4 linked regions of the Tamandua tetradactyla genome follow. The protein of the gene in region 2 interacts with the protein of the main gene of each other region in a pairwise test. Links are inferred from orthologs where the notes say so. Each region holds a gene or a part of one and is shown on either strand. Other genes may lie near its edges. The genes, in order: NUFIP1, FMR1, CYFIP2 and PICK1.

Region 1 (7,928 bases), on a different chromosome or scaffold from region 2:
CGAAATAAATATTTTCAAAAGAAAAAATACTGGTGAGATAACAGGTCCATAGATGTTTTAGGTATAGAAATGGACAATAACCTAATGAAATTCCTTTCAGTTATTCTGAATATCAGAAACTTAAACAGTAAAATCTGATACAGCACTGCCAACATCACTCTAACACAAGGATAATGAAACCTTGTACATCTTCTCTCACATCCTATTGCTGCTTTCCATTCTTACTGCCATTATCCAACTCTGAAACCCTGATCTTGCATATAGATTACTGTAATATTCTCCCAGATTGTCTTTCAGTTCCTAAGTTCTCTCCTCTCCAACTGATCCCATACAATGACACCAAAAATACACTCCAATCATGACACTACCCTCTCAAAAATCTACAAATGGCTTTCTGGAGTGTTCTGATGAGATTCCAGTTTATTTTTTCAGCTTGCTTTGCCTCTATAACCTTCCTCCAGAACCCTTGTACTGACATCTCTCTGTCATTACCTAGAAAGCACTTTTCCCCCCAATCCTACACCTCCTTAAGAAACTTCTTCCAAAAGCTGCTTCTTCTGCATTATGAATCACCTTTTATACGCATCTATCACCAGTCATACTTATATTGTAATTTATACATATATATGAACCTATCTCACCCAATTTAGGACGGTCTTAGCCACACATATATTTCCCCAACTGACACACAGTACTCACTGAGTGTTTAGATTTAATTTAACCTAAATTGAATTTCGTGCAATTGGAGAAATTCTGGAGAATGGTTTTATGTGAACAAGCTGATGGCATTAAATATCTTCTATATACATGCTAATGATGGCAACTTAACAGCTCCAGCCATGCATCTCTCCTGAAAGTACAGTCTCATAGCTAGCAGCTATTCAATAACTCTACTTGAATGTACATATCCAAACCCAACTCTTGTTCTTCCCTTTCAAATACATTCCATTCAGTCTTCCCCATCTCAATTTCAGCTCTTTGTCGGGAAAAAACTTAAGTTACCTTCATCTCCTCATTTCACATTCCACATCCAAACCCTCAGCATTCATACTGGCCTTATCTTCAAAATATATCTAGAATCCATCTACCTCTCATCATCCAGCTCCACCCTAGCCCACGTCCCCCAAATCTCTCCCTTGGATAACTGCAACAGCCTCCTAACTGACTGCCCTTTCAATTACATTACTCTAGCCAGACTGATCGTTTTAGAATTTGAATCAGCACATATCTCTTCCCTGAACAAAACGGGTCAACGGCTACCCACTGTAAAAGTCAAATGAAAGTTCCATCAATGGTCTACAAGGCAAACTACAAAGTCTGTCCTCTTCTACTACTCTACACTAGGCCCACTTCTCTCTAACCACCAAGGACTCCACTCTTTTCTGTATATCTTGCCTCAAGGCCTTTGCACATGTAGTTTTCTCTACCTATATCCCTTCCCCCCATAGAGCCATAATTTTGGTCGCTCACCTCTTTGAAGTCTTTGCTCAAATCCCACCTTTCTTATGAGACCATCCCCCCACCACTGTATTTAAAACTGCACTATCATTTTTATCTCTCTATATCACACTCATTGCGTTCAAATACACAATATGCTTTGTTCATTGTCTGTCCACCCTAAGATGTTAAGCTCCATAAAGAAAAAGATTTCTGCATGTTTTGTTCACTGCTATATTCCCAGTTCCCGGTACTTAGTTGAAATTCAATAAATAACTTCTAAAACGAATGGACAGAAGGAGAAAATATTCCAGCAGGACATACTGTGAGACATTAACGACCAGATTCCAAGAGTGCAGGGCAGAATCAGAAGTGCAGAAAGCGAAGGAAAGCAGAAATGGAAGGGAAAAAGAAAGGGGGCCGGTGATAGGTAAAGGGGTGATACTGTGAGGAAAAACAGCCTACCGTGAAGGTTGTGGGACTTCTGATGCTGAGGAAACGTTTCAGGAGACTGTCTCCAGTACCATGATGTCGATGCCTGGAAATTCCAGGAAGGCTGGACGTTGGGTCGAGACTGAGAATCAAGAGGAGACTGGGCATCGAAGGGGGGCTGAGCTCCGGGAAGAAGTTGAGTGTCGAAGGGGGGCGGCACCCCGGGGAGAGCGTGGGCCGCGAGGTGCGGGTGCGAATCCGAGGAAGGCTCTAACCCGACCGTGGAAGTCAAGGACGAAGACGGGGGCGGCGGCGGCTGCAGCATTGCCCAGAGCACCCAGTTGTCCCGCCGTGGGGCAGCGTTGTTCAGCGACCCCAACGCGGGGTTCAGCTGGGGAGGCGGAAAACTCCCCGGAGGAGTCAAAACTCCACCAGCCGGCTCAGCCACGCCGTCCATCAGGTCGGGAACCTAACCTATGACTTTGGCACAACCTTTAGCCGTCACTTCCGTTAGCGCGAATTGCCCAATGTAGCCAATCACAGGCCGCTATGTCATTGGTCAGCGCCGGAAAAACTTAAAGCTTTCGCAGCGCTCCGCTGGGCATTTTTCGGATAGATTTGCAGCTGCGCGAATAGAATATATTTGTGCGTGAGTAGTGTCGACCACCTCAGATGGCCAGGGACATGATCGGGCCGGCGCTGCCTCCTGGCTTCAATGCCCGCGGGACAGCCGAAGACGAGGAGCGGGACCCGAGCCCGGGTAGGCGGAGGCGTGCCCCCTTGCTGGTCCGACCCAGTAGTAAGGAGACCCCCGGGAGGGCGGAGGACCCGGGAGTGGGCGCGGCCCGACCGCAGCTGTAATTTTCCCTCCTAAGCTGTAGTAGCAAGTAGGTGGCGGTGGGGTATCCTCAGAAAACCCGTAGCGTTGCGCGAGCTTTCGTTGGGTTATCATTATGATGTTGATGTGTTCTAATTTAGCGCTAATATGAGCCGGACGCTGGGCTAAACGGTTGACTCACAGTCATTTAATCCTCCCAGAAATTATAGGAGGTGAAGACTATTACTATTCCCATATCATAAACTGGAAACCGAGGCCGAGATAGGTGCCCAGATCACAGCGTGCATGTGGTGGAGGCCGAATTAGAACAGTAGAACCCGTACTCCTAACTTCTGTGCGGTATTGTTTTCTGACGTACAAGACCTTCACAGAAAATCCTTTGTTCTCTGGCTCTACACCTGCTTCCTTAACTTCTCATTCTGTCATTGCGTCTGGCACACAGTGCTCAAACCAGACCAAATTTCTGTACAGTTATTAATATTCTAGGGTCCCTCTGACCTCTCTCTGTTGGCATATCTTAACACACCTGACAAACTCCTATCCATCCTTTAAGATCCAAATTTAAATATCCAGTTGAAGTCATTCCGAACTATCCCATGCTTTGTCACACCTTCATCTTTCCCCACAGGGTTTTTTTTCCCCTATTTAATTAAATCATATATTTAATGCAGTGTATTTAAATTATTTGTCTCCCCCACTGCACTATGGCCTTCTAGCCTTAACACATAGCCAACATTTTGTTTACCAAATAAATGCTTCTCAGACTCCTCCACGCGTATCTATCTCCTTTATTGTTTTAGCTATAGACTAGGACCGACGCTATAGTTAGAGAAAAATAATGCAGAAAGAGTAGGTCTCTCATTTCTGGATCTAATTTTTGTTGCTTGACTGCCACACAGCCATGTTTCTACCTAAAGGTTTTCCTTCCAGATCTCATTTTTGTTATAGCCACTAAAAGTCATGTTTTATTTTAGCAAAGAAGGTTGGAGAAGAGTGTGGAAACAAATTATCTGATTGGGTTCTTATATGCATGTTGTTTCTGATTCACTATATTCCCTACTTTTTTTTATGTGTCTCCCTACATTTATGTATCTCTACATCTAAACATATACCCTGAGGCAGAGATGTGATATATGTATCATAGGGAATTTTTTTTATTTTTCTTGTGTGTGGGGCGGGGAAATGCATGGTCCAGGAATCAAACCCAGGTTTGTATGACAGGCAGCTATTCTATGATTGATCTACTCGTGCACCCCCTATATTCCCTGTATTAATCTCAGGCAGGATTTGCTCCCTAAAGTACCACTGACAGGACCACTGAAATTTTTAATGGGTATCATAAATTTAAAATGTGAAAAACAAAGCTCTTGACTTTTTCCCCCATCCTCTCTTCTCTAGTCTTCCCCATATTAGAGAATGGCATGACCACCCACCTGGCTAGCCAGTGGAGCCCAAACCCTGAGCCATCTCACTTCCTCTTTTTGCCCTCAGATCCAAACCATTATCAGGTCCTTTTTGCTTTTCCTTCAAAGTATGTTGCAAATATAACATTTTTTATAAGCCTTTTTTTTTTCTAACTCACCTCCCCCCACCTCCAAACCCCTCTTATCCGCAAATTCAGGTCAAGTCTCTCCCAACTTAGAACCTCCTTACTGTGTGCTTTATCCTGTGCTAAGTGTATTACATATATTAACTAATGCATTCCTCACAAGAGTCCTCTGAAATTTGGAAATACTGCTAACTTGTTTTAACAGAAGAAAGAGTATCTCAGAAAGGTTAAGCAACTTAACCAGTTAACCCAGCTAGTAAGTGGCCAAGCTGAAATTCTAATCCAGAGTGTCTGACATGAAAGCATGCTCTGTTCCCCTTCGTACCATCCACCTTCTTCTTCTGTCATTTTGTTAACCACACTGGACTTTTTGGCCTCGAGCACATCTAGCTTATTCCCTTTTTGTAGGACTTTTCAAAAGCTGCTCCCATCTGGATGCTTTCCCTTCAGCTTGGTGCATGCCCACCAACAGCCTTCACCTCCAACAGACTTGCCCTCAAATCTCCATGTAAAATTACCCTCCTAAATATCCACTCACTTTTTCCCTATTTTCCTGTTTGCATAACAGCACTTTAACCATCTGCGCTAATATGTCTTTTTATGTTTGTTTCTCTAGAAGTATTTACCCAGTAAAGTATTTGTTGGATGGATGGATGACAATTCTTGAATGTTGGATAGTATAGTGGTTAAGGGTATAGGCTCTTGACTCCTATATTCATATCCTGGCTCCTCTCTTTAGTTGTGTGAAGTCAGACAAATTATTTAGCCTTCCTGTGCTTCAGTTACCTGTCTGTAAAATAGAAATAACAGTAACACCTCTCACGGTAACTTCTGATACCAGCTGCTGTGAAACTCTGACTGATTACCTGAAAATCAGGCCAGACTCCACAAGTTGAGCACTCAAGTCCTCAAAAGACCACTTTCATGTCAGACACCAGCTGCAAGTTCTGGGGTTCCCAGGGTCACTCTCGCTTTTGACTAACTGGCTATAAATTTGGGAGTCCCTAATTTACAAAACTCAGAAAAGTGCTATACTTAAGATTACAGTTTTATTTTACAGCAAAAGAAATACAAATCAGGACCAGCCGAAAGAAGGTATACATGGGGAGTCTAGGAGTGCCACCAAATACAAAGCTCCCATGCTTCTCTCCCCATGGAGTCTGGAAGCATCACTCTTCCAGCACACTGACATGTGTTACTACTCAGGAAAGACTCGTCCAAGTTTCAGCATCCAGAGGTTTTATTGGGATTCATGATTCAGGCATGATTGATTGAACCCATGCCCATGTGATTGAATGTAATCTCCAGCCCTCTCCTCTCCCCTGAGGTCAGGCTGATAGGGCATGGTCTATCATGGGAAATTCCAGAGATTTAGAGGATATCTCCCAAGAACCAGGTGCAAAGGCCAGCCAAGTTCTTTATTATACAATACCTCTCTAATAATGTCAAATTAAATAGGTTAGTTCATATGAATTTCTTAAAATCACATATAATGCATAAGAACCCAAAACATGTTATTTTCCTTTTATTTATTAAGTTATCATTGAACATATGGCATATCTGAGAAGCTCTTTAAGAAATCATATTTCAGGTGGGCCACGGTGGCTCAGCAGGCAAGAATGCATGCCTGCCATGCCAGAAGACCCAAGTTCGATTCCCAGTGCCTGCCCATGTAAAATAAATAAAATAAATAAAGTCTTTTTTAAAAATAAATAAACAAATAAAAAATCATATTTCCAGTTCTGACTCAGACCAACTCAATCAGAATCCCTGGGGAAATGGCTTAGGAATCTTTTAAAAAATATATATTTTAGTGGTTCTTGAAAAGCATCCAGACTTGGAAATTATGGCAAAAGACTTTATTTATAATTACCTATCAGTTCACCATTATGGTGGTCTTTATTTCTTATTCCATTTTGATCTACATTGGCAATAGTAACATACATACAAAGCAAAGAAAGGAAAAAAGTAATAATTTTCAAAGTGCTCTTCAACAAGTAGTTATAAGACAGATTCCAGAGTTTGTCATGGGCTACCATACCATTATCTCACATTTTTCCTTCTACCTGCTCCAGAACATTGGCGGTTAAAAGGAATAAATACTTTTTTATCATCACAATTGACTTTTTTTTTCTTTTTTGTGAAAAATGAAATACATACAAAAAAGCAATGAATTTCAAAGCACGACACTTTGAACAACAACATTTCAGAGTTTTGTATGGGTTACAATTCTGCAATTTTAGGTTTTTACTTCTACCTGCTCTAAGATACTGGAGACTAAAAGAAATATCAGTATAATGATTTAGCAATCATACTCTTTTGTTAAACCCTATCTTCTCTTTATAAGTCCACCATCATCTTTGATCTTTCTGTCCTGCTCTTTAAGGGTGTTTGGGCTATGGCCATTTTAACTTTCTCATGTTGGAAGGACTATCAGTAATATGGGATAGGGAGATGGAATCTTATACATTGCCCTAGGTAGTCATTAGGATTAGCTTGAATGGTTTTGGTTGGGGTATGGCACATTATGATAGGTAGCAATATTTAACTGAAACTTGAAGCTTATGTAAGAGGGACCTCCAGAGTAGTCTCTCGGCTCTATTTGAACTCTCTCACCCCTCTAATACCTTATTTGTTACACTTTTTTCCCCCTTTTGGTCAGGATGGCTTTGTTGATGCCATGGAGCCAGGGCCATACTCATCCCTGAGAGTCATCTCCCATGCCGCCAGGAAGAATTTCACCCCTGGATGTCATGTCCCACATAGGGAATAGGGCAATGATTTCACTTGCAGAATTGGGCTTAGAGAGAATTGAGGCCACATCTGAGCAAGAGATGAGGTCCTCCAGAAGTAACTCTTAGGCCTACCTCTGGTAGGCTAAGCTTCTCTGCTGCATACATAAACTTCATAAGAGGAAGCCTCAAGATCAGGTGTTTGGCCTATATGTGGCAATAGACTTTTTTGTGGCATGGACGGGCTCCAGGAATCAGACCCGCGTCTCCCACATGGCGGGCAAGAATTCTGCCACTGAGCCACCATTGCCCTCCTGGCAGTAGACCTTTAGTATTACTACTCAGGATCAACACAGAAGTTGTGTCTCTATGACTTGACAACATCATGGAGTGACGTCATATAATAATTTGTAATTTGCTGGGGTATAACAAGAGAGCAGGTCACTTTGGTGAGTGGGCCTAAGGGACTTTTAACAAAGTCCCCAACATCCCACCCACCCCAGTACAATCTCTTTCTCTTCTGTTCATCTCTACTAGTAAGCAGTAAAACTTAAAAGTGATTCTGACTTTATTTCTGCTTAAATTGTCTTGAAAGAACACTAACTGATTGGTATGGTGATGCCAGTAAAGATTTTCTTTTTAATTAGAAACCAGAATGGATATTTTTATGTTTGATATATTAGAGTATGAAATAGTCAACTTGTTGGTCTGGTTTGCTTGGTAGTGTAATTTTGTCTACCATATGCTATCTATAAAGGAAAAAAATCATTTAGCTATTTTGGCAAGTGTACCAAACAATGAAAAAAATTGCATGTTGCTGGGGAAATTATATGCTATATTTATATTTATAAATCAGGTATTAGTGTTCTTGTGAATATCCTAGTTATGCTAAGATATGATTTCTGCTTTCCCTAAGCAAGAATATAATTGGAAATGCAAA
Region 2 (6,906 bases):
AAGTTTGTAGGGCGGGGTAAAGGAAGGTAATGACTAGGGGAAGCACAGGGCATTTTTAGGGCTGTGAAGCTATCATGAACGATATTTTAATGGCAGATATATGACATTATACATTTGTTAAAACCCATTGAATTGTATAACACAAAGAGTGAACCTTAATGTAAACGATGGACTCAGTTAAAAGCAATGTTCCAATATTGGCTCATTAATGCAAGATGTTAACAATATGGGAAACTGTGAGTATGGGGAGGGGTTCCAGGAATATTCAAGAACTCTTTGTACTACCTGGCTCAGGTTTTCAATAAATATAAAAAAGAAAGTCTATTAATTAAATTATGTTTCTGACATCAAGTTCAAACGAGAGGTCAAGGTGAGGAGAAATCGTCAGAGAAAGTGTCATGAAAAAAGTAAGACTTTGGCTGGGCCCTGAAGGATACATAGACCTTCTAAAGTTGGAAAGGGCAGAGAGCATTTCCAGCTGGGATTACAGCAAGAACAAAGACTCGGAGGGCTCAAATTGCTAAGGAGCAGGAAACAACACAGAATAAATCAATGCAAAGACAACAGGAAGCTATTTCATGGAGGCTAGGGGCCAAGACAGGGCCAGAAGAGCTGAAGCAGCATCCTGGTATCTGATAAATATAGGTAAGGGAGCAGACTTGCCCGGAGCCAGGTTCTCATCGACACTTCATTCATTCACTCACCAAATATTGAGCAAGCACCTACTATGTTCTGGACTCTGTGTTAGGCACGGAGGACGCAGCCGTGAATAAAACAAAGAAAACCTCTCCTCTCAAAGAACTTACACTCTAGTGAGAAGAGACAGAAAGGCTTTGTGTGTTCAAGAATCAGCAAGGAAGCCAGTGTGGCTGGAATGGAGCGGGGTAAGGGGAGAAAAGGTAGAAAGTGAGGTAGAAGATGTAACAGGGACCAGGCTGTGCAGGGCATTGAGGCTGGAATAAATAAGGACTTTGACTTCTACTCTGAAGGATTTAGGAAACATTGGAGAGTTTGAGTAGTATAGTGACTTGACTGACACCTGAACAAGGTCACTCTGTCTTCAAGAGCCGCAGCAGAGAGACCAACGAGGAGGAAGTGATTGTAGTAATCCAGGAAGAGAGGGTACGTAGGGGCTTGGACCCTGGTTTTAGCAGTGGAAGTTGTGGTAATTAGATTCTGGACTCAGAAAGGATCTGCTGATGGATCATATGCAGAGCATGAAAGAACAAAAGTCAAAATGACTCTGTTGTAGACCTGATGTTAGTAAATGTAACAGCTATTGAAATCAATCACTTGTGTCCCAGGGACACAAAGATAAGTTTTCTGCTTTGAGGAAACTCATAGCCCATTAAGGGAAACAAATATAAACAAGTAATTCCAGTACCTTAGGTATCACAGTAGGGGTATTCAATAGTTACTGGGTCCAGCTATATGCCAAGGGGTGTGATGAGGAAGCAGGCAGTATGTGCAATGTTCTATAAGAGCACAAAAGGAATTTTTGCAACGGTTTATAAAGGCGTTCACAGGAGAGTTTTTTTTTTTCCATCCCAGTGTGGCACTGGAGTGTGTAGGTGGCAACCTAGATGCCCATCACTAGGGAAAGCTATAAGTAAAATTTATAGAATACTCAGCAGCAATTGGAGACAACAAACTAGATGTATACACAGCAATGTGGCTACAGCTCAAAAAAAACAGTGTTGAGTGTGAAAAGTGGGAAACAGAGACTCACAATCCAATAGTATTTCTGTAAATGGAAAGGGCATTCATAAAGCACTGCAAGCTTTAAATTACCAAGGATCTATCACAAACACATCGATGCGGGTGCCTAGAAGAAGGAGTACAAAGATTGAAGATGACAAGGAAAAATCATATAAACCATATTAAGTAATATAAACAAGAGAGGATCCTTGCAGGGACTAATGATGACAATGTGCAGAGAATTGAGGAGAAAAATTAACTCTTCCCCTGAGGTAAATTAGCTACTAACAGAAATCCAGCTGATAAGGAAGGGTAAGGGGCAGGGTATTCTAGGGGACAGGAAGTATGTGCATGAAAATGTATCATAGGTCCAGAATCAGGGTGGCTGGGAGGAAAGGTGGTTGTGAAGAGCTGATACATTTGAAAGCACCGGGTAAATTGAGCAGCAGTTTACGCGTGGAAAGTATAATCGTTCGAAATCAACATGTCTTTTACAACATTGAAGTTCAAGATACCGCACTGCTCCCATCCAGCCTACGACAGGACAGCCCGATGGGGTCTTCGCATCTGTGACGACTCTAGAGACCCTAGTCCAGGAGATCTTTCCTCAAAGGAGTGTGGCCCTCAGATCAGCTGCTTTAAAGCTGGATCTCCACCAGGACTGGCTGCTCCTCTGGCTGGTAGTGGGGTGGGAAAGAAAGTGGAGGCCCAAGGATGCCTCGCATTCTCCGACACCTGCCTGGGGCAGTTCGCCGCCCTCCCCCAGCTCGGTGCTATCCATCTACCAGTTAACACACCCCTCACATTCCAGCTCCAGTCGTTTCCCCTTCCCTGGCCACCCGTCCCCCATCCCAGGCTGGTTCATGCCCCACTATCATAGGTGAACCTATTCTTCATAGCTCCTATCACACCTTTGCCTTTTTGATCATTTGACTTTGATGTTCATCTAGGTCCCAAGTTCAATGCTGACAGTCTTTTTTTATTGTTGTCGTTAACCAGTGTATCACCAGCACTCAGCACAGTGCTCAGCACACGGTGGTAGGCGCTCAGTAAACCTCTACTTTGAATCCAAGCGTCCCAGACAAAGGCAACACGTGTCAGGTGGAAACCAGCACCACTGTGAGTCAGGAGCGAGAACGCTGGGATTTGTTTTACTGTAAGAAGCGAAGGAGAGAGGCAGTTGCAAGTTAACAAGTCGAGCAAGGTCCCTGTACACAGATCCCCTGTGCTACAAACATGCCCACCACACCCTCTGGTACTGGGTGAACATACATTAGGGGCGGAAGTGAACTATAAAAAAGAAAATGATTGGCGCATTCTTCTTTTTTAACGTCACGTAAAAAATGAAACTAATTGAAGGACGGGGAGTATGTGGGTCAGTTTTGGGTCTGAGAGCGGACTAAAATTCCCAGAGGTCCTGACACAATCCATTACAGGTCAAGGAACGTAGGGATAGCAGTCCCAGGTCAGCCCAGACTCTCAAGGAAGGAGGTGGTGGGCGTTACTCTCACTTCTCTGCCTCTGAGAATCACACAAGCCTGGGTTAACGTGGTTGCCGCTGTGAGCAGTTCACGGTTTGCTTCAATCTTATTCTCTCCCTCCCCACCCACCCAGTCCACCTCCAGCTCCATCAGGCTTGGACTTGCTTAAAACATAAAATAAAACAACCCGTCCACCTCCAACCCATGAATGCAGTCTATCGCTCAAGGGGTCCTTTCCCACGCCTCCGCATGCCCCAGTACGGAAGGAGGCACTGGCAAAGCGACGCGACCTCCTCTAGCTGCACGGCCCATCACCGCCCTTCCCGCCTTCCCGCCTTCCCGCCCTCCGTCATTCCCAGCGCACGCCGAGCCCGCGCGCCCTACGTCGGGCCCGGAACCCCGGTCGGTTCCCAGCATCGCGCATGCGCGCGCGCTCCAGGCCGCGCGGAGGGAAAGGGCGGGGCTGAGGGGCCGAGCCCGCGGTGGGGGGGGCGGCAGTGGGGGGGGGGCGGGGAGATGGGGGTGTGGGTCACGTGACGCCGCTTGACTGTTTACACGCGAAGCTGCCCGGCGCTGGGCCTCAGTCAGGCGTTCGGCTCCGTTTCGGTTTCACTTCCGGTGAGGGGCCGCCTCAGAGCGGGCGGCGAGCCGACGGCGAGCGCGGGCGGTGACGGCGGCGCCGCTGCCGAGGGGCGTGCGGGAGCGCGGCGGCGGCGGCGGCGGCTGGGCCTTGAGCGCCTGCAGCCCACCTCCCGGGGGCGGGCTCCCGGCGCAAGCAGGGGCGACGAGAAGATGGAGGAGCTGGTGGTGGAAGTGCGGGGCTCCAATGGCGCTTTCTACAAGGTACTTGGCTCTCAGGCAGGCCCCATCGTCGCCCTCCCTTCCCTCTCTTTTCTTCTCTGCTCGGCGGGAGGCAGGCCTGGGGCCCTCTTCCCGAGCCTGACGCCCGGGGCCGGGGCGCGCTCAGCGGGATCTTGTTTGGGAGGGAAGGACCGGACTCGGGGCCTGCAGGACGCCCCTTAGCCCCGCTCCTTCTCCTGCGAGAGGCCCCGGCGCCTGGAGGAAGGAGAAACCCGCACGGAGAAGGCTCCCTTTCGGGGCCAAAGCCACCCGGCCGGGGAGAGCTGGGGGTGGGCCCGGGCTGGCTGCAGGTACAAGATCCCGGCGGGAAGGGCCAGAATCCGCGCGAAGTGACGGCGACGGCTTATGTCTCTTTTCCTGAATGTCCTCTCCCGATGGGATCCAGGCCCGATGTGTGGGTATTTGTTGAGAAGCGGCGGGCGCTTCTGTCGGGCCGTCTCTTGCCTTGTAAAGAGGTTTTAAGGTCTCCTTTGGCTTCTCTTTTCCGGTCCAGCATTGGGACTTCGGAGAGCTCCGCCGTTCTGGGCAAGGGGTGTGAGTAAAGAGTAGTAAGAAGCTTATAGTCAGCACCAAATCACAATGGCAACTGATTTTTAGTGGTCGCTCTTTGTGGATTTCGGAAGAGATGTTAAGACTCCAAAGTTTCAAAAAGACCCTAACATATCTGGGCAAGGCATTGCAGAAGAAGTTGCTCCTCTTTCATCTTCGCCCCCCCCCCCCAGTTTTTTTCTTTTTTAAGGTGGGTAAATTCAGGAATACTGATGCTAAAGCATCTAAACAACCCTGCTAGTTAAAAGAATAAAGAATATGAAGCCCCCAAAGACCTGAATATATACCATAAAACTTCAGAAAATTAATTGAGAGTACGTTATTACTAGGGAATTTTTAAAATTCGAGTGTTTGGAAATAATTTGTTTTGCCCTCTAAGTATTTAACTCTCTTCTCTTTGAATTGTAATGCTGCAGAGGACTGTTTTGTGTAGGTTTTGAATAGATACTAATGAGTGCTGTGGATTGTTTTTTTAAGTTACACCATTGTTGGATCAACTAGTATCTTACATTTTTAAAAGACAAGATTAAAAATAATATTTTGATTATCAGTAGTGCGTTTGTTGGTAGGTATTTACTGTAGATCTATTAATCTGTAAATTTTCCTTTCCGCTTGGTTATATCTGTATAACTTCTGTAATATCCCACCTTACTACAGTATTTTGTCAGTAGACGGTGCACATGGAAGGAAGCCTGGAATTAGTTATTGCCATTGTCCAACACAATTCATAAATTGATTCTAGGTTAGCTTTAACGTTTCAAACGGAACTTATCTGGCCAAAGGAAAGCAAGCAGTTGACTTAAAGTATTTGACTTAGATGTTTCCCAATTTAACAGGAATTTAGAGGTAGATATAGTTTATAAATGAGTAAGGTCTGTAGACTCCAGTTTTGTTGTAAAAGGAGGCTGTGAAACAGCCCAGCATTTATATTCTTAACAGAGTGTCATCAATATAAAATTGTTTCAGTTGACCCTGCCATCAAAATTTCAGTTGCATTTATTTTGGTGATCCATTACTTCTACTAGTTGATTTGTGTACAGTAATTCTGGCTCCAGGATTTGTAGTTTTGATCTCTAGATTTGTGGAGCTAACCATAATATACATATAAGTAGGGTCTAATGGTTGAGCAGTAGTCTAAATGATGTTTGAATGCCACTCTTGTTGGATGCTGCTCTTGTTGTCTTAGTGGGGTTTGCTAGTTCACTAAAGGGGCCAAGTGGCATATCCTGGTCTTGAAGCATTTATTGTTCTCTTCTAGCAACACATGATTTGCTCCAGTGATTTTTGCTTACAAACTGGGTGGAATATAAGAAATGCCTTACGTCTTTGCTATTAAGCTCCCCACCCCTTATTGGTTTTTGTTTTTTAACAAAGTAGCCTGATTTGAGGGTGAATGAAAAAGAATGGATTGTTCCTTAGTTCCTTGACGGGAAAGGTAAAACTTGAACAAATGTCTGTAGAGAAATTGCTGTTGTGTTCCTTTAATTAAGATTTAACTTTAACAAAACCTCAAATGATCTGTGTAGATGAAAAATATTTCTATAATGAAAAAAAATTGTCCATTTTTATCAGACTCGGAATATTGCTGTAGTTTTAAAAGTAGAGCAACAGTAAATAGTTGCTTGTCATTATTATGTCCTAGGGCTGGACAGGAAAGATGGGAAATAAAGACCAATCAAAAATGAATACTATGGAGCACTATGTTGTATTTATGAAGAAAAACAGGAAACTTATTCATCAAATTGATAGAAAAGCCTTTAGAAAGTATCAGCAAATCAATGACTTTGGTATAATTGAATACAAACTTTGATTTTCCTACCCACCACATTGCAAAGGACAGTTTTCCATCTTCTGAGCACGTGGTCCAAGTTTGTGATATAAACTAGATAGCTTATACATTGGTAACGGTTTTATTTTTTCTCTAGAAAATAACTCAAGCTCAGGATTCAAAATTAACATAACCATGAAACCCAAACTGTTAAGATGGTTACAGTCCACTATATTTTCCCCCTTGTGTTTTTTCTTAAATACTTGAAAATGGAAGTAATTATCAGTGCCACTACTTTTTGCTCGCATATTTCTTTGACTTAGGAAAAAAAAATCATGTGTACCACTTATAGAACCTTACATTATTTAAGACATGACACTTTGAATTATACCTTACAAAATCTTTACAAAGAATTTCCTATGTAAATAATATTGAGGTAGGATCTTTATTCTAGGGGCATCTGCCCAAAGTAATGTAGTTTCTTTGGACTGGGAGTTTTGATGTGTTGGGAATAGTAATGAATTAACTCCATTTTAGAAATAAAATGAA
Region 3 (6,859 bases), on a different chromosome or scaffold from region 2:
AGGGCCCAGGAGGGAACTGCAATGTTCCAGCCACAATGCAGTTCTCGGCTTTTCATCTATAAAATAACAAAATCTTAGGATTTTGTGAGAATGCAGTGCAATGAGGCCATCCATATAAAGTACTTAGCACAAACACTGGCCCCATATAAACATTCAATAAATGTTAGTTTAAAATATACGCTTTAGGGTGGGCCATGGTGGCTCAGCAGGCAGAATTCTTGCCTGCCATGCTGGAGACCCGGGTTCAATTCCCAGTGCCCAGCCATGCAAAAAAAAAAAAAAAAAATATATATATATATATATATGTATATATTCTTTAATAAATTATTTCAGATTCAAAGACAGTGGCAGGCAACCCTTTGGTTTCCCATGGAAGGACCTGGGGTCTGAGTTCAGCCCTGCCTTGGATAACATCCTCTTTTAGGCCTCAGTTCTTTCACCTGTAAAATGAGGCAATTTTGAGCAAATGGTCAGGTTTTATCTAATGGGCAATGTGAATTGTGTAACTGACCATGAGTTTCTCTTTTCCTGCTAACCACAAGAATGTACAGAACAAAAAATGTGTAAGCTTATTGTAGCAAGACCATGGCATATAATTTTTGTACTATTCACATTTTTCTTTCCATCTCTTTTTGAATTTTTTCTCTTCTTTCTTTTTGCTATTAATTTTTTAGCTGTTTTTAACTTTTAATTTAATGCATCCTTATGAGTTGCATTAAATATGTTTTGGGGAAAAGTGTTGATAAATATCTGGATTTGGTTTGGAAGAGGGGACATGGGGATGCTTATAATAGCAGTCAAAGCATCAGTGTTGGTTTCACTATAGGGGGCAAGTTATTTAACCTGTCTTAGTTTCCTCAGTTATAAAATAGGACTAATGATCATATTTTCCTCATGGGACTACTGTGAAAAATCAAATGGGGTAATGCACTGGTATAGCTTAGCCATAATTGTTATTTACATTTTCTCTCTCCAGAACGAATTCCCATGTCCTTTCCAGATACGCCACTGCTGGCTTCTAATAAGCAGGGTCTGCTGATGGTTTTTAAATGCAGACAACCTAGATGTTCCAAGTACTGTGAGCCTTTTCTAAAACCAAGGCCATGTTGCTTCACATGGAACCACAAGGCATGAGCCAAAGTTTTGCAAGTGGCAGAGCAATTCTCACTTGGTAGCTGCAATTTTCTTATTGCTGAGGGTGCAAATCAGTGTGGGACTTGAAGGAAATAAGAAGGCAGTACACAGACAGCTACAAATTTCACTGACAAAGTGGAAAATAACATTTCTTCTATCAATTATTCATGTAGGCCATTTTGATTACATTCCCATCATCTACCAATCTCTGTGCTAGGATTGGAGGACACAGTGGGGAGCAAGGCAGACCCAGTCCCTTGTCTCTTAGATTGTATGGTCTCATGATGGATGCAGGCAAGCAAATCAGCAATTGTGACACAGCATAATAAAAGTCATGATAGAGAAGTCCAGGATAGAGACACCTACCCAAGGCATGGAGGGATCACAGGTGGCTTCTTGGAGGAGGTAACATCTTTGTGGATAACCAACAGATGAAGAGGAGTAGATAGGCAAACTGGGGAAAATTGTAGAAGAGAGAGAAAAGGAGCTTTCTAAGCAAAAAGCTCAGCTCGGGCAAAGACCAAAGACAAGAGAAAATACAGCAAATTGTGGGAACTAAGAGACTTAGTATTTATTTTTTTTCTCTTCTTCTTTCTTGGGGGGAGGGTGAGGTGCATGGTCTGGGAATTGAACCCAGGTCTCCTGTATGGAAGGCAAGCATTTTACCACTGAACCACCTGTGCACCCCAAGTTGGGGAAACTAGAAGAAATTTCTTTTAGCTGAAACATAGTGAGCATGTCACAAGTAGAAAAGATTGGAAAGGCAGGGGCCAAATTATGAAGTCCATGATAGACCATGGCAAGGAGTTTGGGCTTCATCCCGAGAACAGTGGGGACTACTGACGTGCTTTAAGCCAGGAAAGGATCTGTCCTTTGTTTTTAACTCATGCAATTTTCCACATGTAGGAACTTTGTAGCAAAGCCAACTCACTGCATTTTATAGATGGAGAAACAGGTCACTCTTCTATTAGTTGCAAAACTAGGACCAAAAGACAAATCTCTGCATTTCTAGCAAAATGGTTTCAATCAAACCATATGGCTTCTCCTTTATACGTATATAGAATTCATGGGTCAGGGAATAATTGTTGCCTAAGATCTAACCAAGTATGCATGCAATGATATTCTTTGTTTTTAAGCAATTTATTCTGATTGGTGAAAAGACAAGGAAGGAACAGCAGGGTGAGCTATGTCTTCCAGAAAAAGAAAACATCCAAAATAATATGTCTTTTAGAATGAAATCCATTTTATTAGGATTCTCATTGTTAAGTCCTGGTAATTACTGATACTCAAAAATCCCAAGGATCAAGGTTGAAAACAATTTTTTTTAAAAAAACGAAACTTTACTTCCGTTCTTAAAATCATCCCCCACAAACTCCCCCACAGCTTTCTCACATGGCATCAGGGACAGAAATGTGTGTGTGTGTGTGTGTGTGTGTGTGTGTATGTGTATGTCATCCTTCTGAAATAGGGATTTAAATCAGAATGAGTAACGTAATATCAAATTACCAAGGATTATGAATTCTGTGCACTTGGGAATTATGCAAAATCAGCAAGGGCAAAGACTTACATAAGGTCTTTTCTGATCCTTGAACAGTGTGGCTCCTCTATAAATATCCCTTAATAGGAATAGCAGAGTGATAAAGTATAAATTTGTGAATCCTAGGCAAACATTTAAGAAAGGTCTCCTTGAAACAAGACTTTATCCCTTATATCTGTATACACTTTAAAATGTCTCAAATGCATTCAAATTACTTACCTGTGAGTGAGGAGGGGCATCTCGTGACACAGCAGTGAATTGACTGGCCTGGAGTCTCAAGGCTAGGACAAGCAAGGCTCAGCCTGACTTGAATCTGGTCTGAAGGTCCACCAGGCTGCATCTCAATGAAAATTGTTTCTTTGGAAAGCCATAAATTTCCAGAGAAATTTAAAAGAGAAGGGTGGGTACACATCCTCTCAGTTGCTATTGGGCCCCCAGGCATTGCCAGGAAGGTTTCCTGTTACCGTATTTTTGCTTTTTGTTCACTAGCCAATTCTAACTGGATGAAGCTGGGGCACGCTGGTGCTTAAGAGGTAACAATTTCAGGGATTCTGCCCAAAGTGACTGAAAGAGGGTAGGGGAAATTATTCCGGAGCAAAGGAGCAGCATTAGGGACTAGCCTCAACTAGTGTGATTGCCGCCCTCCCCATCAACTCCCAGGTTTATTTTCTATCATTTCACCCTATTCCTTTTCTTTCCAGTCCTTCTCCCAGATGTAATTTATGCCCATCTCTTCTGGTAGAGATAAGCTCCAAGAGGGCAGGGACCCTGTCTTCTATACACCAGTGCATACCCAGTTCCTGGCACGGGGCTTGAAACAAAATTGGTGCTCAGTGAAGGCTGGTTAAATAAATGAGCACTTGGGAATAATGTGAGAATAATGAAATTCGAACGGGTCCGAGCTTGCGATCCCCCATTGCTGTAGCGTGGGTCCCAGGAAATGGGGGACATGGGGTAAAAACATCCCTCCCTTTTCCTCCCCGGCAGCAGGGCGGCAGGATGGCCTGGGAACCCGACTGGTCCTCGTGAGATGCACGCTAGGGGTACCGAGAGCCCTTCGCCGCAGCCATTTCCTGCTCTTTGTGTGACAGCCGCGGTGGCAACCGGGCCGGGCACCGGGAGGGAGGCGGAGCGCGGCTGGCGGCGGGGCGGGGCCCGGGGCGGGGCCGAGCGGGGCCGCCAGCAGAGCGGAGCCCGGCAGAGCATCCTGCGCCCCGGCGTGGGGCCCTGCCGTAGCCTCGGGCCCTGGCCCTGGACCTGCCGCAAACCCAGGTAAGCGCCATTCCCCGGCCTGGGGACCCAATCCGGGGTCGGGATGCTGATGGTGACCGGGATGCGGCCGTGAGGACGCGCGAAGAGCCGGCATCTTATCTCCCAGCCCGTGGAGGGCACTGGGCGCCGCGCCCGGGTTAGCGGCCTGGGGGCTCCCCGGCAGTCCCCGGAGTCCGGGCCCCGGGCCCGGGGCGCCTCCCTTAGCTCTCCGGCCCAGCTTGGGCCGCACGCGCCGGCCCTCTGCAAGGACGCGCGGGCGCACGGCGGAGCTCGGGCGCGGCGGCCCCAGTAGCAGCAGGTGCGCGGCCTGGGCCGTAGCCGCCTGCGGGAGAGGAGGCGGCGCTAAACCTGAGGACCCGAGACACCTGCAGCGGCCGCCAGCACCGCTGCGGCGACATCCTTGCGCCCAGGTGCCGCGGGCCGCCTCCGCCGGGGCCACCGTCACCTCCCCCAGGGCCAGCGAGACCAGCCTGGGCCCGCCTGGTAGCTGCCTCGGGCACCGAGCGCCCTGCGGTGAATGTGAGATGGGTGGGGCGAGGGGCGAAGCGGAGACGTTTGGGAGTGGGGCGCTTTCATGAGAAGAGGAGGCACCACCCTTCTGACCCGCTTTGAAGCCTACTGGCCTACCGGATCCTCTCTCGCCCGGCCGCGTGGGGGCGGGGGAGGAGGTGGGGAGAATGCAATGAGGGGGCTGACTCCTGGGAGAAAGGTTGGGTTTTCTGAGCTCTGAAGAACCAGGAAGATGCCTACCTGTCTAACTACCTAGTAGCTTCCTCTGGTCAGGAACAGCCCTTCCCCTCAGTGGGTAAGCCGGCCTATTTATAAAGGAGGAGAAGGGGGTGCAGTGGTTTTGGGGTGGGGGCCGGTATGGTCCAGCGGGGCCTGAAGAATAGCTAGGAGAAGGATGGGGCTGGGAAGAACACTGGGAGTGCCCAGGTGCCCAGTCCCAGCCCAGGCAATCTGACTTTGACCTCTGCCTGCCTGTTTTCCCCAGCAGGGTGGAAACTCACTCAGGCTGATGGGCAGTCAGCTCCCCTTCCTATCAGCTCCTGGCTGTCTGCACCTTCACAGGTGGGCAGGGAGGCTGGAGCAGTCCTGCTGGCATGAGAGGCAAATCAGGAGAGTGTTGACGCCCGCGTTCCCCTCTGCCACCTCCCGCCTGCATCCCCTGTAAGGCAGCGGATCTCAGCATACTCTTGACCACAGGTCACGTTGCAAGTTGGGTCCCAGAGCCCTCAGATCTTGGAGGGTGAAAATCTAGGTCCATATTCTTGGTCAAGATTGTGAAGGCCTTGAAGTCTTCTCCACCACCAGACCCCTTCTCTATGGACTCCCACCCCCACTTGCGTAAATGCCCTGTGTTTCCCCGGTTCTCCCAAGTCAAAGTTCTCCCAAGTCAAAATTTGTGAACCTGTTCCTTCTGAAGAGCTTAAATACAAAAGACTTCCTCACTTGATTAAGAGCAGGTGCTTGAGAAGTCATTTGACTAGAAAGGAAACAAAGGGTGGAGACATTTTAATGGGAAACGAAGCTCTAAGTGAAAATATTGACATCTCTAATGGTGGAATTTCAGACAGCAGGCTGGAAATGTGGGGGGGGGTGGGGGGCAGCTGTCCCTGAAATGACAGCCTCTAGCAGCTTTCAGCTCTGTGTACTTGCAAGGGCAGTTTTGGCCCTGAGGGCAGGAATATGTAGGAGTGTATGCATGTCTGGTCAGAGTCATTGTCACCAGGAGACATCTGTTGAGCACCCAGTGTCCACTTGTGGGAGGTGAAACTTCCTATAGAGAACTACAGGTCGGCACTGGCTGCCACATGCTGGGCAGTTCCCAGCCACCAGAAGAGTATGTTGTTGCTTTCCAAGCTGGTGTCTCTGCTCACTCAGTGCCAGTGCACTGAGCCTCTGGCTGGGATCGGGAGCTCTCTGCTCACTAAGCTTCTTTATTATGTTTCCTGGCCAGTTCTGACTGGTTCCGGAGGCACCCAAGCCTGCCTTGTTCAGTCCCTGCTGGAAAATGGAAAAGGAAAAAAAGCTTGCTTTAGGCATTAGGCCAAGATTACTGACTTCCCAGAGTGGGTATAAAATCCACTAGGGTTGGAGAGTTTTTCTCAGATTCGATCTGAGGCTGGCCCAGAGAAGTAAATAGATATGAATATAAAAACTAGAAAAGGGCCCAGGGAGATTACTGCATGTCCCCTCTGATATATCGTGTCCTCTCAGGTGTTCAGTGGGCCTCTGCTGCTGTCATTGACCAGCAAGTAGAATTAGGTGGTGAAAAGGCAACAAGCTAATCAACGTTGGGGACACACTCCTGGAAAACAGAGCAGGGCTCTAGTTTTCATGTTTCAGGATTGGCCTGCATGCTCAAAGAGGTTTATTTGGGCCACTTTTGGCCTTGGGGTTCCACCAAGAACTTCACAAAATGGTGACCTCCATGTGGTCACCATAACAATGAGTCTATTTTTTTTTTTTTCTGGCACGTATTAATTATTCACTTGGTAGTTGATGAAACCAGACATCAGTCACCTCATTAGAGTTTTTGTGAAAGGCCTTTGGTCTTTTCATTCCAAGAAGCAAAGCCATGTCTCAGGTCCAGAGATGGACCCTGTGTCAGTACTGGAGGTGGTGGGAGAGGGTGGCGGGTGCTGCTGGCTTCTAGGCAGTGATGTGGGAGGTCAGCTGTGGTGGAGAAGGAGCTGACACTTAATTGGATGCTCCTGTTAAATGAGAGATTCGCAAGCATGCTAAGCAGAGTGTCTAGCATACAGTACTATTTTTGTTATAATATATTGATTACATAATCATTAAGAATTTGGCTTAAATATGTTTAACCCATAGCGCTTACCAACCCTCTACCACCAGAGCTTTCCTGAATTTTTGCTTTATGAAGGGAACTGGTCTCTGACCAAGAAACCC
Region 4 (7,994 bases), on a different chromosome or scaffold from region 2:
ACAATAGAGCAATTTCTTATGTGTTTCCTTACTCCACACCAATCCAGCCAGGCACTCACACTTCCCTTCACTAGAGGGCTCCAGGCTTGGAATTTCACTTTTGACCAAGTTGTTAATGAATCAAAAGTTAGTGACAGACCTTCCATGCAGGAGACCGGGTTCAATTCTTGGACCATGCACCCCCTCCCCCTGGCAAAAAAAAAAAAAAAGTAAAAGTTGGTGATAGGGCAGGTAGTCTTAGCCTGCTCCAACAGCTACTGAGACCATTTCCTTTGGAGTCACAGCTAGAGACCTCAGATTCATTCTTTATTCTCATCAAAAAAGCCCAGAGAGTCCTGTGGCTTTTATAGCCAAATAAGCCAAATATATATATATATAATTTGTCTCCTCTTCATTCCTACCTTTGTTCCCCTAAATCTTTGTTCCAGGATGATTCTTTTCTGTGGTCTCTTAGTACACTGTACTTGCCTCTTTCAGTTGTTATTGCTTGCTTCCTTGTTCATCTCCTTGTAAGGTTTTATCCTCAGCGATCCGGTGCATAGTGTATTAAAATGTATGGGACGCAGCAAAGGCAGTGCTAAGAGGGAAATTTATTGCCCTAAATGCCTATATCAAAAAAGAAGAAAGGGCAAAAATTCGGAAATTAACTGTCCACTTGGAAGAACTGGAGAAAGAACAGCAAACTAACCCCAAAGCAAGCAAAAGGAAAGAAATAACAAAGATTAGAGCAGAAATAAATGAAATTGAGAACATGAAAACAATAGAGAAAATCAATAAGACTAGAAGTTGGTTCTATGAGAAAATCAACAAGATTGATGGGCCCTTAGCAAGATTGACAAAAAGAAGAAGAGAGAGGATGCAAATAAATAGGATCAGAAATGGAAGAGGAGACATAACCACTGACCCCACAGAAATAAAAGAGGTAATAACAGGATACTATGAACAACTCTATGCTAATAAATACAAAAATGTAGATGAAATGGACAAGTTCCTAGAAAGGCATGAACAACCAACTTTGACTCAAGAAGAAATAGATGACCTCAACAAACCAATCACAAGTAAAAAAATTGAATCAGTCATTCAAAAGCCTCCCAAAAAGAAAAGTCCAGGACCAGACGGCTTCACATGTGAATTCTAACAAACATTTCAGAAAGAATTAGTACCAACCCTGCTCAAACTCTTCAAAAAAACTGAAGTGGAGGGAAAGCTACCTAATTCATTCTATGAAGCCAACATCACCCTCATACCCAAAACAGGCAAAGATATTACAAAAAAAGAAAACTACAGGCCAATCTCTCTAATGAATATAGATGCAAAAATCCTCAACAGAATTCTAGCAAATCGAATCCAGCAACACATTAAAAGAATTATACATCATGACCAAGTAGGATTCATCCCAGGTATGCAAGGATGGTTCAACATAAGAAAATCAATTAATGTAATATACCATATCAACAAATCAAAGCAGAAAAATCACATGATCATCTCAATTGATGCAGAGAAGGCATTTGACAAGATTCAACATCCTTTCCTGTTGAAAACACTTCAAAGGATAGGAATACAAGGGAACCTCCTTAAAATGATAGAGGGAATATATGAAAAACCCACAGCTAATATCATCTTCAATGGGGAAAAATTGAAAACTTTCCCCCTAAGATCAGGAACAAGACAAGGATGTCCACTATCACCACTGTTATTCAGCATTGTGTTGGAAGTTCTAGCCAGAGCAATTAGACAAGAAAAAGAAATACAAGGCATCAAAATTGGAAAGGAAGAAGTAAAACTATCACTGTTTGCAGATGATATGATACTATACGTTGAAAACCCTGAAAAATCCACAGCAAAACTACTAGAGCTAATAAATGAGTACAGCAAAGTAGCAGGTTACAAGATCAACATTCAAAAATCTGCAGTGTTTCTATACACTAGCAATGAACAAGCTGAGGGGGAAATCAAGAAACGAATTCCATTTACAATTGCAACTAAAAGAATAAAATACTTAGGAAAAAATTTAACTAACGAGACAAAAGACCTATACAAAGAAAACTACAAGAAACTGTTAAAAGAAATCACAGAAGACCTAAATAGATGGAAGCGCATACCGTGTTCATGGATTGGAAGACTAAATATAGTTAAGATGTCAATTCTACCTAAATTGATTTACAGATTTAACGCAATACCAATCAAAATCCCAACAACTTATTTTTCAGAAATAGAAAAACCAATAAGCAAATTTATCTGGAAGGGCAGGGTGCCCCGAATTGCAAAAAACATCTTGAGGAAAAAAAAACGAAGCTGGAGGTCTTGCGCTGCCGGACTTTAAGGCATATTATGAAGCCACAGTGGTCAAAACAGCATGGTATTGGCATAAAGATAGATATATCGACCAATGGAATTGAATAGAGTGCTCAGATATAGACCCTCTCATCTACGGACATTTGATCTTTGATAAGGCAGTCAAGCCAACTCACCTGGGACAGAACAGTCTCTTCAATAAATGGTGCCTAGAGAACTGGATATCCATATGCAAAAGAATGAAAGAGGACCCGTATCTCACACCCTATACAAAAGTTAACTCAAAATGGATCAAAGATCTAAACATTAAGTCTAAGACCATAAAACAGTTAGAGGAAAATGTAGGGAGATATCTTATGAAACTTACAATTGGAAGCGGTTTTATGGACCTTAAACCTAAAGCAAGAGCACTGAAGAAGGAAGTAAATAAATGGGAGCGCCTCAAAATTAAACACTTTTGTGCATCAAAGAACTTCATCAAGAAAGTAGAAAGACAGCCTACACAATGGGAGACAATATTTGGAAACGACATATCAGATAAAGGTCTAGTATCCAGAATTTATAAAGAGATTGTTCAACTCAACAACAAAAAGACAGCCAACCCAATTACAAAATGGGAAAAAGACTTGAACAGACACCTCTCAGAAGAGGAAATACAAATGGCCAAAAGGCACATGAAGAGATGCTCAATGTCCTTGGCCATTAGAGAAATGCAAATCAAAACCACAATGAGATATCATCTCACACCCACCAGAATGGCCATTATCAACAAAACAGAAAATGACAAGTGCTGGAGAGGATGTGGAGAAAGAGGCACACTTATCCACTGTTGGTGGGAATGTCAAATGGTGCAACCACTGTGGAAGGCAGTTTGGCGGTTCCTCAAAAAGCTGAATATAGAATTGCCATACGACCCAGCAATACCATTGCTAGGTATCTACTCAGAGGACTTAAGGGCAAAGACACAAACGGACATTTGCGCACCAATGTTTATAGCAGCATTATTTACAATTGCAAAGAGATGGAAACAGCCAAAATGTCCATCAACAGACGAGTGGCTAAACAAACTGTGGTATATACATACGATGGAATATTATGCAGCTTTAAGACAGAATAAACTTATGAAGCATGTAATAACATGGATGGACCTAGAGAACATTATGCTGAGTGAGACTAGCCGAAAACTAAAGGACAAATACTGAATGGTCCCACTGATGTGAACCGACATTAGAGAATAAACTTGGAATATGTCATTGGTAACAGAGACCATCAGGAGATAGAAATAGGGTAAGATAATGGGTAATTGGAGCTGAAGGGATACAGACTGTGCAACAGGACTGGATACAAAAACTCAGAAATGGACAGCACAATACTAACTAATTGTAATGTAATTAGGTTAAAACACTGAATGAAGCTGCATCTGAGGTATAGTTTTTTTTTCTTCTTTTTTTCTTTTTTTCTCTCTATTATCATTTTATTTCTTTTTCTGTTGTCTTTCTATTTCTTTTTCTAAATCGATGCAAATGTACTAAGAAACGATGAATATGCATGTATGTGATGATATTAAGAATTACTGATTGTATATGTAGAATGGAATGATTTCTAAATGTTGTGTTAGTTAATTTTTTTAATTAATAAAAAATGCTGATTGAATAAAAAAATGTATGGTGAATTCTAAAATCTGGTGAATGGGAGCTGCAGAGCAGGAGGTACATAGGAAGTTGTTGCTAGTGCAGCTGCAACGCAGATTAGGTCCCTAAGGAGGGGTTGAGTGGGACTTCCATCAGGCTGTGGGATGTGTGGATTATCATCCCTCTGCATCTGTCCTTCCTTCATGGCCCTGGGTGCATCTAGGGGAGGAAGCTGGGCAAACCCGGCCTGTGCTTCCCAGATGAGGTGGATGCCAGGGCTGCAGCTCTAGGAGAGCTGACCTCCTCCAGGGAACCCACTTTACAATAATAGCAGTGGCAGCGGAGGTTGGCAGGGAGACGAGATTTGGACTTCTCGGCTGGTAATCACTGATGGCGTTTATTGAGCCTCAGGTACACAGGGGCTGTGGCCCCCACTGGGCCCTCAGGGAGCTGCTCCTCAGGACTAAGGAAGGAGGTGAGGATGTCAAAACGCATCAGATACCATGGTCTAGAAGTGAAGGAGGCCATAGAAATCACCTAATTCAGCACTCTTAGGTAGCATACGGGGAAACCGAGGCATGTAAAGGAAGACGGTCCAATCCATCCTTAGCCGCAGACCCACAGAATACAGCGATCCTGACTCCCAGTTTAGTGCAAATGTTAAAAGGGCACTGGATTAGGCGGCAGGCGTCTCAGAGTCAAGATCTGGATCTCATAGCAACTCTGGGTGCTCTGGGTAAAATCTCCTTCCCTCTCTGGAACTTAGTTTTCTAGTCCGCAAAGCTAGAGTTGGGCTAGGATCTCGACGCGCCTTTCCAGCTCTGACGTTGTTATTGTAGTAGAGAAGTCACCAGGCTTGGCCTGGGACTCGGGGCTTTAGGTGTGAAAGGTAAGTCTTTGATTTATAGTGCACTGAACTTCGCAGCAGGACAGGATGCTCCGTTGGCACGGCAACCGCCTGGCAGGCGTGGGGCCCTGTATCCTACCCAAGGAGCTGGGAAAAACCTTGCCCTCACCAAGATGGCGGCGGCAACAGGATAAGGGGCGGGGCTGAGCGTTTTCTACCCGATCAGACCTTCCCTCTGTTTCCGCTTCTTTAGCCTCAGCGGCGAGTCTCCGCCCATACTTATTTTCTTTTCTGGTTCTGGGAGCCCAGACAGAAAAGGAAGGAAGGGTTGCCTGCAGGAATTGGGGGCCAGTACCCTGAAGAGGGGAAAGGCGGGACTTCCGCGCCTTGCCGGAAGTGACGCGACAGTCGCAGCCGCCGACAGGTGGAACCGCAGGTGGGTACAGGTGCCAGCCTGGCCCGGACTCGGCTGTGGGGCCGACGCTTCCGGCGAGCGACAGAGGCAGTCCCCGAGGCCCTGGAGACCCGTGGGGCGGGCTTCGGGACGTGAGCCCACCGCCCTGGCCTGGAGACCCCCCCTGTACCTAGTAAGAATCACCAACCCCCCCACCCCAACCCTGTGGACGCTCCGTCCTGAGGGGAAGCAGAGAGCCTGGCCCTCCCGGATTTGCGGGGTTGGCATTAGGGTTGGGGTTGGCTTCTGCATCCGGCGCCACGGTTCCCCAAACCCTACCCTCCTTTCTCTCCCGGATTCAGTTTCCCGTTCCTTTCCCGAGCTGGGCTGTTTATCAGCCCATTCCATCCCTCGGAACCATGTTTGCAGACTTGGATTATGACATCGAGGAAGATAAACTGTGAGTATTTTGTTCCCTCAAGTCCCAGGAATTCAGGAACCCCAGTCGCTCAGATACCTGGACTTTCCCATTCCACCAACCCTTGCTTCTTAGCGATGAGTCAGGTCTTGTGCTGTAGCAGAAAGGGACTCTACCTTTCCAGGAGCCCACCATACTTACAATTCAGGGCCTTAAGACCTCTAAGGAGAATGACCTGGGTAGAAGGAAAGCAGAGCTGATGGAGCAGTGCTTCTGTTGGGGTGTTCAGGGAAGGCTTCACAGAGGAGGTGGCAATTGAGGCAGGTTTTGAAGGATGAATAGGAATATCATAACCATACCTCCCTCCCTGACCTAGACAATAGATTCATCAAGAGTTTTGAAGATTAGGTTTGTCTGAGAGCCAGGACAGGGTCCAGTGCCTTTCTGTGTCGTCAGTATTTAGTAAGGTACTTTACCTAAAAAAGGAGGTTAGCAAATGTTTTGTGAATGAGTAAGTGATTAAATGAGACTGTTTACCATAAAACGTCAAGAAATGCCAATTTATAGTGAAAACTATAGATGTAGAGTAATTGAAGATGGCATGTGGGTAGTTTTCCACTTCCCTGACGAAATGGTTCTGTATGAGTCTGGGAAGGTGACAAGGACAGACCCTGAATCAAGTCTCAGAGGTAGAATGAGGGCGGTGGAAGGGAAACCTACTTTTATGGAGCCTCTGCTATGTACTGGGTTGGTGTTAAGTGCCTTCCATTCTCTTCCCCACATGAACTCTGATAAACTGGTCTCATTCTCATTTTCTGGGTGAGGAAGCTGAGATGCAGAGAGGGTGACTTAAGTCCCTTTACCGATAAGGGGCAGAGCTGAGATTTGATCCCACATCTGCATGACTCTAAAAGCTGTGTACTTTCCAGAACAAAACACTGTCTTTCTGGCCAAGTAAGGAGAGAAAAGGCTGTGCTGCAGTTGGAGCCTCTTGGGGATGTTGGTGGGCATATCCCCTGCCCTGTCCCTTCCAGTTGTCCTTCTTCTAGAAGATTCAGCTTCCCATGCTTCTTTTTCTAGCGGGATCCCCACTGTGCCGGGAAAGGTGACCTTGCAGAAGGATGCTCAGAACCTGATTGGGATCAGCATTGGTGGAGGGGCCCAGTACTGTCCCTGCCTCTATATCGTCCAGGTACTGGGCACTCTGGAAGTGGGGATGAGGTCCTGGAAGGGTAAGCTGTCTCCTTACTTGGCAGGTTCATTTCTCCATTCGGCAGAGCTGACTCCTCATTCTTGAGGTCTGGCTTCCACAGAGAGGCCTTCCCAACTACTCCCTCTAAGTACTCAGGTTTTCTCTATCGTTTCAGTCTGTCCTTTTCCTTCACTTATCGCCATCTGTGATCATCTGTTGGTTACTTGTTCTATCTCTAGCTACTCTGCCTGTCTCCGTGTACTCTGAGGCAGGGTCCCTGTTTGCTGCTCACTGCAGTGAGCATCTGGCTTAGTGCCTGGTATATAGTGGACATTTAATAAATAGCAACAAAACATGCAGCCTTAGGTACTAGCCTAAGTGGAGTGGAAAGACTATGATATAATGGACTGAATTCAAATGCAAGCTCCCCTCCTTAACCTTTCTGTGCCTCGCTCTCCTCACTTGGAAGATAGGAGTGTTAAATATGTAGGTATGTACATCTTTAGGTTGTCATGAAGATTGAGTAAAACGACACAGCACAATGCCGGGCATATAGTAAGCACTGACTAGGTAGTTGCCATTGCTATTTTTATGGCAATAGCTCATTTTCCAGGGGTTAAGAGTGAGGCCAGTCCTGCTGCTAGCCTTCCTGTACCCCACATGGCTAGGCAGAGTTGGCGATCTTTCTACCCTTGGAAGGAAGCTTGCATCCTCAAACAGTTTGAGCCTGTAAACTTGATCTTTTTTTAAAACATGGGCAGGCACCGGGAATCGAACCCAGGTCTCCGGCATGGCAGGCGAGAACTTTGCCACTGGGCCATCATGTCCTACCCTGTAAACTTGATCTTGATTCTACTGTGTGCTAACCCTCTCAGCTAAGTAGTCATAGCCAGCAGACAGGAACACTGAGGTTCCTCTGAGGAACTTGCAAAGGGGTTAAAAAGGTCAGTTCTAGGCCCTGAGAAGTGAAATTCCTAGGACCTGCTCTTGCCTCTGCAAGGAGCCATTTTGCCTCCTATGAACAAGGGGTAGGTGTTGGGGAGGCCTCCTCCAGGCCTGGGCTCCTTGCACGCATTTGCTCAGTGTTTCCTGCCATCTCCCTCCCCACTTCTCAGGGGTGTGAGGCAGTGCTAGGCCCAGGTTTGTTTAGGATGAACTGTGATTATAAAAATAATGCAGTTGATTTTGAAAAGTTAAAGTTTTAATTTTATCAAAGT

The links.
Region 1: the proteins of FMR1 (region 2) and NUFIP1 interact in a two-hybrid assay, tested with the Homo sapiens proteins (2 studies listed by BioGRID). The link is inferred for Tamandua tetradactyla from reciprocal best matches to the Homo sapiens genes FMR1 and NUFIP1.
Region 3: the proteins of FMR1 (region 2) and CYFIP2 interact in a two-hybrid assay, tested with the Homo sapiens proteins (2 studies listed by BioGRID and IntAct). The link is inferred for Tamandua tetradactyla from reciprocal best matches to the Homo sapiens genes FMR1 and CYFIP2.
Region 4: the proteins of FMR1 (region 2) and PICK1 interact in a two-hybrid assay, tested with the Homo sapiens proteins (2 studies listed by BioGRID and IntAct). The link is inferred for Tamandua tetradactyla from reciprocal best matches to the Homo sapiens genes FMR1 and PICK1.

Annotation. Positions count from the first base shown.
Region 1 is NC_135330.1:113,890,593-113,898,520, reverse strand, and holds the start of NUFIP1 (FMR1-interacting protein NUFIP1), read right to left. Parts: upstream 3,008-7,928; 5' UTR 2,630-3,007; coding exon of another isoform or gene 2,542-2,629; 5' UTR 2,327-2,541; coding exon 1,903-2,326; intron 1-1,902. Other genes in the region: GPALPP1 (GPALPP motifs-containing protein 1), read left to right, coding at 2,542-2,629. UniProt on the Homo sapiens protein: Binds RNA.
Region 2 is NC_135353.1:9,407,034-9,413,939, reverse strand, and holds the start of FMR1 (fragile X messenger ribonucleoprotein 1), read left to right. Parts: upstream 1-3,898; 5' UTR 3,899-3,971; coding exon 3,972-4,022; intron 4,023-6,906.
Region 3 is NC_135346.1:38,357,398-38,364,256, forward strand, and holds the start of CYFIP2 (cytoplasmic FMR1-interacting protein 2), read left to right. Parts: upstream 1-3,855; 5' UTR 3,856-3,943; intron 3,944-6,859. UniProt on the Homo sapiens protein: Involved in T-cell adhesion and p53/TP53-dependent induction of apoptosis. Does not bind RNA. As component of the WAVE1 complex, required for BDNF-NTRK2 endocytic trafficking and signaling from early endosomes.
Region 4 is NC_135333.1:30,396,005-30,403,998, forward strand, and holds the start of PICK1 (PRKCA-binding protein), read left to right. Parts: upstream 1-4,993; 5' UTR 4,994-5,209; intron 5,210-5,215; exon of another isoform or gene 5,216-5,360; intron 5,361-5,529; 5' UTR 5,530-5,586; coding exon 5,587-5,627; intron 5,628-6,665; coding exon 6,666-6,777; intron 6,778-7,994. UniProt on the Homo sapiens protein: Probable adapter protein that bind to and organize the subcellular localization of a variety of membrane proteins containing some PDZ recognition sequence.